2 linked regions of the Anolis sagrei genome follow. The protein of the gene in region 2 purifies or fractionates together with the protein of the main gene of each other region. This does not show direct contact. Links are inferred from orthologs where the notes say so. Each region holds a gene or a part of one and is shown on either strand. Other genes may lie near its edges.

Region 1 (7,432 bases), about 58 Mb from region 2:
TTGACAAGTATCTGGCCACTTGGAGTGCCTCTGGTGTTGCCGCAGAGAGGTTCTCCATTGTGCATGTAGCAGGGCTCAGGTTGCATTGCAGCAGGTGGTCAGTGGTTTGCTCTTCTCCACACTCGCATGTCGTGGATTCCACTTTGTAGCCCCATTTCTTAAGGTTTGCTCTGCATCTCATGGTGCCAGAGCGCAATCTGTTCAGTGCCTTCCAAGCCGCCCAGTTTTCTGTGTGCCCAGGAGGGAGTCCCTCATTTGGTATCAGCCACTGATTGAGGTTCTGGGTTTGAGCCTGCCACTTTTGGACTCTCACTTGCTGAGATGTTCCAGCGAGTGTCTCTGTAAATCTTAGAAAACTATTTCTTGATTTAAGTCGTTGACGTGCTGGCTGATACCCAAACAAGGGATGGGTTGGAGATGTCACTGCCTTGATCCTTTCACTATTAGCTGTTACTTCCCGGCGGATGTCAAATGGTGCAATACCGGCTAAACGATGTAATTTCTCCAGTGGTGTAGGGCGCAGACACCCTGTGATAATGCAGCATGTCTCATTAAGAGCCACAGCCACTGTTTTAGCGTGGTGAGATGTGTTCCACACTGGACATGCATACTCAGCAGCAGAGTAGCAAAGCGCAAGGGCAGATGTCTTCACTGTGTCTGGTTGTGATCCCCAGGTTATGCCAGTCAGCTTTCGTATGATATTGTTTCTAGCACCCACTTTTTGCTTGATGTTCAGGCAGTGCTTCTTGTAGGTAAGAGCACGGTCCAGAGTGACTCCCAGGTATTTGGGTGCGCTGCAATGCTCCAGTGGGATTCCTTCCCAGGTGATCTTCAGAGCTCGGGATGCTTCTCTGTTCTTGAGATGAAAGGCACATGTCTGTGTTTTAGATGGGTTGGGGATCAGAAGGTTTTCCCTGTAATAGGCAGTAAGAGCACCTAGAGATTTGGAAAGCTTCTGTTCTACCATCTCAAAGCTCCCTGCTTGAGCAGTAATGGCACGATCATCAGCATAGATGAAACTCTCTGTCCTTTCTGGCAGTGGCTGGTCATTTGTGTAGATGTTGAACATGGATGGAGCAAGCATGCTCCCCTGAGGCAGGCCGTTCTTCTGTTTCCGCCATCTGCTTCTCTGGCCCTGGAACTCAACAAAAAAGCTCCTGTTTTGTAGCAGGTTTCCTATGAGGTGGGTGAGGTGGTAGTCCTTTGTGATATTATACATTTTTCTCAGGAGGAGGCGGTGGTTCACAGTATCATAGGCTGCTGACAGGTCTATGAAGACAGCTCCTGTAATCTGCTGCCTTTCAAAGCCATCTTCTATGTGCTGAGTCAGGTTCAACACTTGCGATGTGCAGCTTTTGCCTTTTCTGAAGCCAGCATGCTGTGGGATCAGACAGGGGTCTATTTTTTTCCGTAATTCTATGCAAAATAAGTCTCTCCAGAACTTTGTAGAGGTGGCACAGGAGGGAGATTGGTCTGTAGCTTTTTGGGTCATTATGGTCTTTGCCTGGCTTCAAGATGGCGATGACTCTTGCTTTCCTCCAGATTTTGGGGATCTGACAGGATGTAGTGCAGTTGTTCATCAGCTCCAGCAGCCAGCGCCTTGCTTTTGGGCCAAATTTCTTGATTTGTTCCATCCGTAGATCATCCAGGCCAGCTGCTTTGCCATTTTTACATTTATTGAGAGCCATGTCCAATTCAGTAGATGTAAAGGGTTCATGAAGGTTGTTGTTCTCAATCTCTCCTTGCCTGGCTATTGGTTTCTTTCCTACTTTGGTGGTAAAGTTGGGTTTCCCATTCTTCAAGAGTTGGTGTGCTATCTGATCTGCCTTTATGTTGGCATGGGTATTAGTTTGTGAGGGATCGTTGCTCAACCATCTTAGCAACCTCCACGCCTTCTGGCTGCTCCTGCCCATGTCGCCCTCTGTGATCAGCTTGATCCACTGTTCTTTCTTAGCTTCAGAGTGGCTCCCAGGTATTTGGGTGTGCTGCAGTGGTGCTTTTAAATGCTTCACACACCACACTCTGCGACCAGAAAGAGTGTGGTGTGTGGAGCATGTAAAAGTGTCACAAGTCCTGAGGAGGAGGATGGCATGAGGGCGCCCTTTCTCTCTCCTCTCCCAAGCCAGCCAGCCAGCAAGCCACGCCTCTCTCCTCACCGCCAAGGAGCTGCCAGGCTTAGGAGTTGGCGAACATAGTCATAATAATAACAACAATAACAACCACAACACAAAGCCAGAGCGAGGACGACCCAGAGCGAGGCTGCTCCCTCCTCTGCTTTCGCCATTGGAGGCGGCGGGCAATGACGAGGGCCGGCGAGGAGGCTGCGTGGCGCGAGGGAGGCGAGCCCGACCCCGTTCCCTCATTCCCGCGCCTCAGAGACACCTTCCAGGAGACAGAGAGAGGTAGGAGGACCCCTTTGTTGTGTGCCTGTCTCGCCTCAGGGAAAGAGAGGAGGAGGAGGAGGGCTTTTGGGGGTCCCCCGCCCCATGTCTGCTTCCCTGGCAGAAGGTGACCCTCCTCTCAGAAGTCCCACTGATGCTTGGGCATCAATGAAGGGGGCAGACAGGCAAAGGAAGGGAGGGAAAGGAGAGCCACCATCACAGTGGCATTGAAGCCATGGCTTCTCTTGGCACTGGGTTCAGAGAGAGCCTTTGGAGTGTGTGTGTGTGTATCTCCATTTATATATGTATGTATGAGCATATCTCCATTTATATATGGGTGTGTGTATATACATATGACTTGGGGTGTGTGTATCATATATATATATGGCATGACATGACTTGGGGTGTGTATGTGTATCAATTTTTATATATGTGTGTGTGTGTATATATTATATCTAGACATGTTTGGGCTGTGTGTGTGTGTGTGTGTATATATATATATCCATATCTATCCATATATATATATATGAGAGAGACTTGGTGTGTGTGTGTGTTTATGTGTGTCTGTCTATATATAATATATACACACCTCCAAGTCTCTCTCTCTCATATATATATGTGTGTGTGTGTGTATATGTGTGTGTGTATATATATATATATATATATATATACACACACACACACACACACACACATACATACGCACACACACACATAGCTCAAACATGCATACATATGATTGGGTGTGCATGTGTGTGTATTATATATATATATATATATATATATATATCAGTGTGTGTGTGTGTGTAATTAATTATATATATACACACACACCAAGATATCTCTCTATACATACACACACACTATACATATACATACACACACACACACACACATATATAGTATATACGCAGACACAGACACACACATATATAACGGGTGTGTGTGTGTTTGTATGTGTGTGTGAGTGTGTATGTAATTATATATACACACACATACCCACACTATACACACACACATATATAGTATATACACAGACACACATATATAACAGGGTGTGTATATATATATATATATGTATATGTGAGTGTGTATGTAATTATATATATACACACACACTATACACACACACATATAACGGTGTGTGTATATATGTATATGTGTGTATGTAAATAATTATATACACACACACACTATATATATATATATATATATATATAGTGTGTGTGTGTATATAATTATTTACATACACACATATACATAAATATACATAGACACACACACACATATATAACTCTGTGTGTGTATATATATACACACATGCACACATAGACACATATACACATATGACTTGAGCTGTGTGTATATATACAACAGTATATGACTATATGTGTGAATTGGTGTATGTGTGAATGACTCTGTGTTTGTGTGTATTTATAGATTAATGAATTGGTGTGTGTGTGTATATATCTATATCTGACTTCATATTTATGTGAATTGGTATTTGTATATATATTTAGAGAGATAGATGGATTTATATATAGGTGAATGTGTGTGTGTGTGTGTGTTTATATCTATATATACACAAACACACTGTATTTCTTCCATACCAAGATGCCCATGATTGTAAGACACTCACTCATTTCAGTCTTGCCACCCACGAAAAAGGTTTGGCTTTCCGTCATGCTTTAATTTGGCTAGAGACGGAGAGAAAAAGGGTGACGCTTCTTCCTCCTTCCTCTCCTCATTTCAGAGCTGCATTGCTTTGTCTGCCCTTCTCAAAAAGCCATTTATCACAAGAGTCGGTCACCATATTTTAATGAGCTGTGAAATGTGCCAGTTGTCATGGTTGAAAGATGGTATAGTTTTCTGTGCATTTCTTCCTCCCCTGCTAACTCCCCCCCTCCCCCCTGTTGTATCAAGTGCATTGAAGGTTACACACTGCCATGAATGAGAAACTGGTTTTGACTTGTTTTTCATTAAAAGAAAAAAATCTGCCATAGATATTCATTCATGGAATCAGATGGAGATAGATTATTCATTCCCAAAAATCTGCATAGGTAGGTCATTCATTTTAATGTGATTTGTTTATGTCTTTACTTCTGACATTGCTTCACTCTCACAAATAGCTAAATTAAGAGGAATACAACTGATGTAAAGAAAAGTGCAGATTCCTAGGAGAATTTTGCAAGGACTCTGTGGGATTTAGAGCATGATCCCTTTTCAATGTTCAAGGGGTTAAAGGAAAACTAGAAACCACGACAGGCACATGTTGAAATTTTAATATGGTTAACAATAGCACTGCTGAAACTGAGCTGCTGGGAGACGGGAAGAGGTCAGTAGGGAGAAGGGAAAGTGTCGCTTCCATCCACAACAGTGAGTACTTGCAAAGCCGGCAATTCATTTGGGTTTCCTAGTCCCCACATATATGCTTCTTCCCAAAAGAGGGCTTGTGAGATGTTTGCAATGGGTGTATTGAGGGATTTCATATGTGAATTGGAAATAATCGTAGAATAGTTCACTTTGTAAATCCAAATAGTATAGTAGGTAAAGGTAAATGTTTTCCCCTGACATTAAGTCTAGTTGTGTCCGACTCCGGGGGTTGGTTCTCATCTCCAATTCTAAGCCAAAGAGCTGGCGTTATCCATAGACACCTCCAAGGTCATGTGGTTGCATGGAGCATCACTACCCGTCAAGAGCAGTATTTATTGATTTACTCAGATTTGCATGTTTTCGAACTGCTAGGTTGGCAGAAGCTGGGGCTAACAATGGGAGCTCACCCTGTCCCACGGATTTGAGCTGCTGACCTTCCAGTCAGCAAGTTCTGCAGCTTAGCAGTTTAACACGCTGTACCACCATGGCTGCTTGTACTATAAATAGTACAAAAGGTATCTATATACTATTAATATTATTTTTAGTCAACAAATCCCTCTGTGGTCATCTTCAAGGTCATGTGGCTGCATGGAGCACCACTACCCGTCAAGAGTGGTACCTATTGATCTACTCACATTTGCATGTTCTCGAACTGCTAGGTTCGCAGAAGCAGGGGCTAACACGGGAGCTCATCCTGTCCCACGGATTTGAGCTGCTGACCTTCCAGTCAGCAAGTTCTGCAGCTTAGCAGTTTAACCCACTGTACCACCATGGCCGCTTGTAATATAAATAGTACAAAATGTATCTATATACTATTTTTAAGTTATTTTTTTATTGTAATATACCTTGAAAAAAGAAAATAAAACATCAAAAGAGTGAGAACAATTTTCAGATAGGAAAGTTAGGAAAAGGGAAAGAGCCGGGAAATAGACACTGGGAGAAAATAATAATAATAATAATAATAATAATAATAATAATAATAAATTACCATCTGCCAGCTGCAGAAGGCCACCTTACTGGGATCTGCATGCATTATTCGCCGATACATCACACAGTCCTAGACACTTGGGAAGTGTCCGACATGTGATCCAATTCAGCAGCCAGCAGAGTGTCTGCTGTGGACTCATTTTGTGTTTCAAATAATAATAATAATAATAATAATAATAATAATAATAATAATAATACCCTAATCTAGGGAGCCAAATAAGAGAAAACAGAACAAAGACAAGGACATTAGGGGGAAAAGAAAAAAAAATATGTCCATTGACACCTTCAAGGTCATGTGGCTGCATGGAGCACCACTACCTTCCTGTCGGAACAGTACCTATTGATCTACTCACATTTGCATTTGCATGTGCATGTTTTCGAACTGCTAGGTTGGCAGAAGCTGGGGTTAACAACGGGAGCTCACCCTGTCCCATGGATTTGAGCTGCCGACCTTCCAGTAAGCAAGTTCTGCAGCTTAGCAGTTTAACCTGCTGTACCACCATGGCCGCTTGTACTATAAATAGTACAAAATGTATCTATATACTATTTTTAAGTTAATTTTTTATTGTAATATACCTTGAAAAAATAAAATAAAACATCGAAGGAGTGAGAACAATTTTCGGATAGGAAAGTTAGGAAAAGGGAAAGAGCTGGGAAGTAGACATTGGGAGAAAATAATAATAATAATAATAATAATAATAATAATAATAAACCCTAATCTCAGGAGCCAAATAAGAGAAAACAGAACAAAGACAAGGACATTAAGGAAAAAAATAAAAAAAGGATGTGTCCATAGATACCTCCAAGGTCATGTGGCTGCATGGAGCACCCCTGCCTTCCTGTTGGAACGGTACCTATAGATCTACTCACATTTGCATGTTTTCGAACTGCTAGGTTAGCAGAAGCTGGGGCTAACAACGGGAGCTCACCCTGTCCCATGGATTTGAACTGCCGACCTTCCAATCAGCAAGTTCTGCAGCTTAGCAGTTTAACCCGCTGTACCATCATGGCCTCTTGTACTATAAATAGTACAAAATGTATCTATACTATTAATATGATTTTTAGTCAACAAATCTTGCTGTGGTCATCTGCAAGGTCATGTGGCTGCATGGAGCACCACTACCTTCCTGTCAGAGCGGTACCTATTGATCTACTCACATTTGCATGTTTTTGAACTGCAAGGTTGGCAGAAGCTGGGGCTAACAGTGGGAGCTCCTCCGCTTCCCAGATTCGAACCACCGACCTTTCGGTCAGCAAGTTCAGCAGCTCAGTGGTTTAACCCAGTGCGCCACCGGGGGCTCCAAAAATAGCATAGTAGTAAGAAAATAACAGGGGAGTTTTGTTATTAAATTGATAACATTTATTAATGTATCACTGTGCTCTAATACACATTTATTAGAACGAACTAAAATACTTACCTTTTTCTCAAACTGCCTTTATTATGTTAGTGACTGTAATGTATATCTCACCTTTGGGATCTCAAACTTTTCCCTAGTGACACACAGGTAGCATCAAGAGACATTAAAAACATTAAAAACGACACATACATCACATAAGAGAATCACTACATAAGAATTTGCCAGGACTTTCCAGAAGTCTTTGCCTACCTTCCTCTCTCCCCCACAATGGTGGCTGATGGCTATTGTTGCTGACTGGGTCAGAGTTTGGAAATAATCCACAACCTATGATTT
Region 2 (7,567 bases):
GGTTTATATATCTGTGGATCATCAACAGTTCATCAACAGATATATAAACCCCCTTTTTCCCAGCTCCAGACCTCACCCTCTGAGGATGCCTGCCATAGATGCAGGCGAAACGTCAGGAGAAATGCCTCTAGAACATGGCCATATAGCCCGAAAAAACCCACAAGAACTTTATTGTATCTAACCCTTCAATAAACTGTATCAACTTTATGATTTTGTGTAACTTCTATCTTTTAACTATACACTGTATATATTTTCTATATACACTGTATAAGAACTGTTTAAAAAATGTACAAAATGTAGCCTAGGGAAAGCCATCCTCCATGACCCTGCTAAAATAATCCCCTAAGAATAGAAAGGTGGGACAAATCCCCTTGGCTGTTTCCCATGCCAGATAAGAATCAGATTAATTGTTTATATGTAAAGGTAGACAATCTCCCATGCCAGCCAGATTAGCTCAGAAATGCTTGTGTGATTCCCCCAAAGACTTAAACATATGTGCATTCATTAACACTTTTATTTGACAACCTAACTTTTGATTACCCAGGATTGACCCCTGATTGTTGTACCTTTGCTTCCTGAGCCCTGTATCATTGTTTGGCACAGAATTGGACAGCTGAGCTAATTAAAAGTTCATCAACATATCCCTAGTATTTTCTTCCTGGGGGAGTCCCAAAAGCCCTTTTCCTGACCAATCCCCAGCCAATATTCGTGGCATAAATCCTGTCAGCCTCTTTTTTGGCCAATCAGAGGAGGGAGCAGGAGGTTTGAATGGCTGTCAGAACTGTATAAGATATCTTGCCTTTCTCCATACCGTTATGCTTGTACATTTTGAAGCAAATTATTTACACTTGTATCCTTTTTGGCCAAATCGCAGTCAATTTCAGTGGCTTGTCTTCATCCTGTTGAGTTGTTTCTCTGCCCTGGCCCTTCTGGTTTTAGCATATGCTTGTCGAGCGTGGATCTTAGGTAAATCACTGCAGAATGAGGGTACCAGGTCAATTATACAGTCATATGGTCAGTATGTTGGGAAATTATCAACCTCCTTGTTAAGAAAGACTTCTGCAAAGTCCTGATATTTTCTTAGCAATGTGACAGGGAGTTCAGCTGGTTCTGAGTCTTGAGCAGCAGTCACCTGCTCTGGTCTGCAATGCTCCTAATAAATAACAACAACAACAACAACAACAACAACAACAACAACAACAACACTTTATTTGTACCCCGCTACCATCTCCCCAAGGGACTCGGTGCGGCTTATATGAGGCCGAGCCCAAATACAACAATACATGCAATAATAACAACAGCAATTAAAATAAAACATGGACAATAAAATAACGCAACATTAACAATAAAACCACACGATTAAAACTGTGGGAAGGCCAAATGTAAAATTAAAATTGGAAGTAGTGCTGGAACATGGGAGAAAAAGTGATGGGGCGTTTGTGGAAAACATACAGATGGGGCGTTTGTGGAGAACATAAAAAATATCTGCCACCTGGAGCAAGAGATATGGGGTTCATGTCAGATGAACCTCTTTCTTTCATTCCTTCTTTCGCTCTTTGGTTTCATCCTTCCTTCTCTCTTTCCTTTCTTCCCTCCTCCTTTCTCTACTTCTTCCTTTGTCTCCTTTCTTCCCTCCCTGTTTCCATCCTTCTTTCACTTTTTCTTTCCTTTTCTCCTTCCTTCCTTCTTTCAATACCTCTTTTTTCCCCTTCCTTCCTTCTCTCCTTCCTTCCTTCCCTTTTCCCCTCCCTCCTTTCTTCTCTCCTTTCTTCCTGTCTGTTTTCCCCCAATACCATGGCAGAGTCCCTTCTAAGTCTATTCTATGAGTCTATTTAATATAGTAATATATAGTAGTAACATTATATTATATAGTGCTGTATATAACAATAATATATATAATGTAATATATATGATATAGCAATATATATAATAGTAATATATAAAGTATTACACACACACATCACACCAACATCCATCTGTGTGAGTGTCTACACTGCCATATAATCCAGTCCTAAGTAGATAATCTGGATTTTACATGGCAGTGTGGAAGGTTTGATTTTGGGTGCATCTACACTGTAGATTTAATAAAGGAGGATGAAGCTGGTGAGGGAAGGAGAAAAAGGAAGGAAAGAAAGGGAGGAAGGGAAGGAGACATGCAGGCAGCAGCAAACATTGCAGCCGCTGCTGCTTCGGAACCCTCATTCTGTGTCCTCAGTGTGAGGGGGGTAGGGGAGGTGTGTTGTCTTCTTCCTTTTTTGAATTTAAAGGTGTTTCGTGGGATTTTTCAGTGATGATCACTCCTTGGATCATGAGGAGTTTTGTTGCCAAATGTGGGGTCATTTGGCCCTGTAGTTTTTGTTTTGTTTTTAAGGAACTCATTATGCACAGAGCATTTATATATATATAGATATAATATAATAATGTGATATAGGAATTCAAGGATGGGTTCAGATCATGACTCAATCAAATGCACAAAGAAACATCCACGTTTTCAATTCCTTGTGGTATGCGGCTAGGGAGGGTGCCAGCCTAATCTCCCTGGGGAGGGAATTCCAGAGATTTGGGGCCACCACCGAGAATGCCCCCCCCTCTCGTCCCCACCAGCCGCGTCTGAGACAGGGGTGGGGCAAGAGAAGAGCATCCCCAGAAGATCTAATCTTGTGCTATGCTAATAATATTTTATATGCGCATATGCTATTGGTCATAATATTGTAATACAATATAATATTAAGTAATTATATATTACATGTATTACTAATAATATTGTAGTGTAGTGGTATCGTACAATATAGTAATATATAATACTAATATTGTGCAATGCTAATAATATAATATACTAGCTGTCCCCTGCCACACATTGCTGGGCCCAGTCTGTTGATCTGGAAAATAAGGTAATGAGAAAGTGTTGGTTTCTAATATATATAATTCCTTTATGCTTGTGGGTAAACAGTATTTCTTGCTGTTTCTTTGTCAGTGTTGATGTGGAGAGTGTCTGGTTTGCCTACTCTGGAACATGCAACATACAATTGTCCTTCTTTAGGGGTCCCTTTCAAATCTATGATACTATATCTGTGTGTGTGTGAATCCTATCTATCTCTATCTATGGCTGGATGGCTCTTTGTCAGGAGGGCTTTGATTACATTTCCTTGTCCTGGTGAAGGGAGTTGGACTAGATGGCTTTGAGTATTTTCTGTTGGTCATGGGGATTCTGTGTGGGAAGTTTGCCCCGATTCTGTCGTTGGTAGGGTTCAGAACGCTCTTTGATTGTAGGTGAACTATGAATCCCAGTAACTACAACTCCCAAATGTCAAGGTCTATTTTCCCCAAACTCCATCTGTGTTCATATTTGGGCATATGGAATATTCGTACCAAGTTTGGTCCAGAGCCATCATTGTTTGAGTCCATGGTAGTCTCTGGATGGAGGTGAATGATAACTACCAAACTCAAGGTCAATGCTCACCAAACCCTTCTAGAGTCTTCTGTTGGTCACAGGAGTCCTGTATGCCCCGGTTGGTTCAATTCTATCATGCTATTTGATTGTAGGTGAACTATAAATCTCAGCAGCTACAACTCTCTATCTATCTATCTATCTCTATGGCTGGATGGCAGGACTTTGATTACGTTTTCTTGCCCTGATGAAGGGAGTTGGATTGGATGGCCTTTAGTATTTTCTGTTGGTCATGGGGGTTCTGTGTGGGAAGTTTGCCCCGATTCTATCGTTTGTGGGGTTCAAAATGCTCTTTGATTGTAGGTAAACTATAAATCCCAGCAACTACAACTCCCAAATGACAAAATCAATTTTTTTTAAGTGAGGGACATACATTGGGTATGTTAGGTGTCTTGTGTCCAAATTTGGTGTCAATTCGTCCAGTGGTTTTTGAGTTCTGTTAATCCCACAAACGAAAATTACATTTTTATTTATATAGAAGTAATATTACTAATAATATTGCAGTATAGTGCTATCGTACAATACAGTAATATATATTACTAATATTGAGTAATGCTAATAATAGAATATATTGTATGTACAAATAAGCCACTCTGAGTCCCCTTAAGGGTTTTCTTTTTTTGTCGTGTCAGGAGTGACTGCAAGTCGCTTCTGTTGTGAGAGAATTGGCCGTCTGCGAGGACGCCCGGATGATTTGATGTTTTTATCATCCTTGTGGGAGGCTTCTCTCATGTCCTTCCTTAAGAGTGAAAAGAGTGGAATATGAATGTCGTAAATAAATAAATAAATAAACCCAGAATATATGGCAGTGTGGACTCAGAAAACCCAGTTCAAAGCAGATATTGTGGGATTTTCTGCCTTGATATTCTGGGTTATATGGCTGTGTGGAAGATTCTTCCACATAGCCATATAACCCAGAATATTAGTGAGTGCAGGAAGGAAGCCTTTCCCAAAAAAAGACTGGAACCTGCCTCGTATCCGCCCTTACTCCTGGAAAAGGCTTCACTCTGCATGTGTGCGCATGCTCGCGCTCCGGCTTTCTATTGGCTCCTCCGCCGGCTCCTGCGGCGCGCGCCCCCGCCCCTTTCCCTCCCTCGGTGGCATCCGGAGCCCCGCCCTTCCTGCTGCCGCTGCTGCCGCTGCTGCTGCTGCTGCTCGAGCGCGGGGCGGAGGCGGGCGGCTGGGCCTTGGCTGCTGTTGCGGCTCTTCCTCCTTCTCTTCCTCCTCCCGCCGCCTCTCCTTCTTCTCCTCGAGGGTCAGAAACGAAGATGGCGGACCTGGAGGACCAGCTCTCCGACGAGGAGAAGGTGAGGGGGGCCCAGAGGAAGGGAGAGAGAGGCGGGAGGCCGAGGGAAGCCCAAGAAGGCGAGGAGCCTGAGGGAGCTTCCTGGAGAGGGCAGGCATAGGGGCCAGAGGAGGAAGAGGAAGGGGGCCCTCCTGGCGCCCTCTTGCCGCCTAGGCCTCTCGCCGCTCCTTGTACGGTCCGAGCGCTGAAAATAGGCTGGGGCCGATCTGGTGTCTGGGGGACGAGCCAGCAGCCCGCTTCCTCCTCCTCCTCTTCCTCTTCTGTTCTCCTTTTCTGCTGCTGCCTCCATTGGCGCCTCCAGCCAGCCCCTGCTTTCCTCTGGCCTGAAGTAGGCGAGAGTGTCCTGGCGGGGCAGAGGCACTCTAGGTCGCCTTTGAACTGCCAGGGCTCAATGTAGGAAGATCCTGGGAGTTCTAGTTTCACAAGGCCTCGAGCCTTCTCTGCTCAAGAGCGCCTCACTCCAAATCCCAGAACCCCATAGCATTGAGCTTTGGTAGGGAAAGTGCAGTCACACTGCACTCAATCCACAGTGCATTATTATTATTATATTTATTTATACCCGGCTTTATCTTCCCAAAGGGGACTCAGGCCCCTTCCAGAAAGGCCCTATCTCTCAGGATCTGATCCCAGGTTTTCTGTTTTTTCCATATTATCTGGCAGTGGAGACTCGTATAATACAGTTTTAAGCAGAAAACCTGGTATGAGATCCTGGGATATAGGGCCTGTCAGGAAGGGCCCTCAATATATAGATCTGGCTTCTGCAAATTTTGGCCTTCCAGGTGTTTTGGACTTCAGCACCCCAATTTCTAACAGGAATTGCCTGGTGTAGATGCATCCTGGGATTCGTAGTTTGTTGAGGCACCTATTTTCTTCCCCTAAGTGATGTAGTCACACTGCAGAATCATTACAGTTTGAGACCGCTTCAATTTCCAGGGCTCAATCTGTAATATTCTAGGATTTATCCAATGCCAGGACACCACAGCTCTCACAGGGCTTGCGAATGCCAGAGCTTGATGACATTTTTTCTCCTGTCGGGAGCAACTTGAGAAACTGCAAGTCGCTTATGGTGTGAGAGAATTAGCCATCTGCCCAGATGTGTGATGATTTACCATCCTTTTCTCATGTCCCCGCATGGGGAGCTGGAGCTGACAGGGGAAGCTCAACTTGCTCTCCCCAGATAACATTGAGTCATATCAGTTTAAAGTGGTGTCAAACTAGTATATTTTTGTCATGTGACCAAATAATAATCATAATCCAATTTATTTATATCCTGGCCCCTCCTCCTGAAGGAACTTGGGGCGGCTCACAGTGGAAACATTTTTGGAAAATGGCATTCATAACCTTTTGGAAAGCGCCTTTTGGAGAATAGCATACAACCAAATATAATTATTCAGTTGTTAGACTGAATAACCTATTATATCTGCTCTTTTAGAAAAACAGAGATTTTACCAGCTCACAAAAACTGCAGAGTTTGAGAAGTGGGTTTCAGTGCCCAAAATATATACACTCTCCCATAAAACAGCTTGTTTTATATCATGCACTCAAGAGTGAAAAATGAAGTAGACTTTGATAAAAATAACATTTGGTTTGCTCACAACCTTCATGTGTTCAGTATGCACAGGTACAAAACTTATCAGTCCCGTTTCAAATATGTTTGAGATAATTCTTTGTGTCATCCCGCCAGAGCATCTCTCTTGTAACAAAATAGCTATCAATACCTCACATAGTCAAAAGGAGAGAGAAAAAGAGCATATGGTCTGCAGCCCCTTTTACAACTTTTCATTGAAACATAAAGGAAGCTGCATACCAGAACATACATTCAGGAAACAGTAAGCAACAGAATCATAGATAAACATTATTAGAGAAGGCTTGAAGAAGGTTGTCATTTCCAACAAAAAATACAGTATACATAATAATAATCGGCCAACCAAGACTGGTTCCCTCTAACCTGCAGTCCCCTCCAGTCTTCGGGTGTGTTTTGGGCAGGGCAGCCGTGCCACTTCAGCTCTGGTGAAAGAAAAGAGAGAGAAAAAGAATAGATAAGCATTGCCCTTATCTGAAATGCTTGGGACTAAAAGTATTTAAGATTTTTTATTTCCCCTCCTGATTTTGGAATATTTACACATAATGAGGATCGGAGATGGGACCCACCTCTAAATACCACATTTATGTATATTTTCTATACGTCTTGCACACAGCATGAAGGTAATTTTATGCACAATATTTTGGATACTTTCAGGCATGAAAGTATCCACTGCTTTGAGTTGCCTGAGGGCTGAGAAAAGCGGTATATAAATAAATAAATAAATAAATTCCATGTTAAGAAAGATGACTTAGATGCCCATGTTATAATAGATTTTGGAGCATTTAACATTTCTAAATAAGGTATCCTCTGCCTGTATAGATAGCATATCAACATTTAGTGAATATCATTTGATTGCCCCTCATGTCATCATCCATGGGGTCCAAAACAATTTTTACATGGTGATGATATTTTTTTGTCTCTTAAATCTTTCCCCTCTCTTTAAGTGATGATAAACACCTCATGGATGTGTAAAAGGTTAATGAATCCTTGACAAAGAGGTTTATTTCCGGTTAATTGTTACAGAAGATGAATACATGGTATAATATATGTTCATTTTGAAGCTACATTTCAAGCTTGATCCTCTGAGGATGCATCTAATCTGTAGAATTAATGAAATTTGACACCACTTTAAGTGCCATGGCTCAATGTTATTGAATAATGGGAAGTGTAGTTTGGTGAAACTATTTTGTAGAGAACTCTAAAGACCTTGTCAAGTTATTCCATAGCA

What was found. Proteins that work in one complex are often made in the same cells at the same time.
Region 1: the proteins of CAPZA2 (region 2) and CRACD purify together in Homo sapiens (affinity purification with mass spectrometry; 3 studies listed by BioGRID and IntAct, counting the BioPlex papers as one, with this or other methods). This does not show direct contact. The link is inferred for Anolis sagrei from reciprocal best matches to the Homo sapiens genes CAPZA2 and CRACD.

The regions. Positions count from the first base shown.
Region 1 is NC_090025.1:73,367,776-73,375,207, reverse strand, and holds the start of CRACD (capping protein-inhibiting regulator of actin dynamics), read left to right. Parts: upstream 1-4,420; 5' UTR 4,421-4,441; intron 4,442-4,690; exon of another isoform or gene 4,691-4,757; intron 4,758-7,432. UniProt on the Homo sapiens protein: Involved in epithelial cell integrity by acting on the maintenance of the actin cytoskeleton. Positively regulates the actin polymerization, by inhibiting the interaction of actin-capping proteins with actin.
Region 2 is NC_090025.1:131,056,599-131,064,165, reverse strand, and holds the start of CAPZA2 (F-actin-capping protein subunit alpha-2), read left to right. Parts: upstream 1-4,563; 5' UTR 4,564-4,716; coding exon 4,717-4,755; intron 4,756-7,567. UniProt on the Homo sapiens protein: F-actin-capping proteins bind in a Ca(2+)-independent manner to the fast growing ends of actin filaments (barbed end) thereby blocking the exchange of subunits at these ends.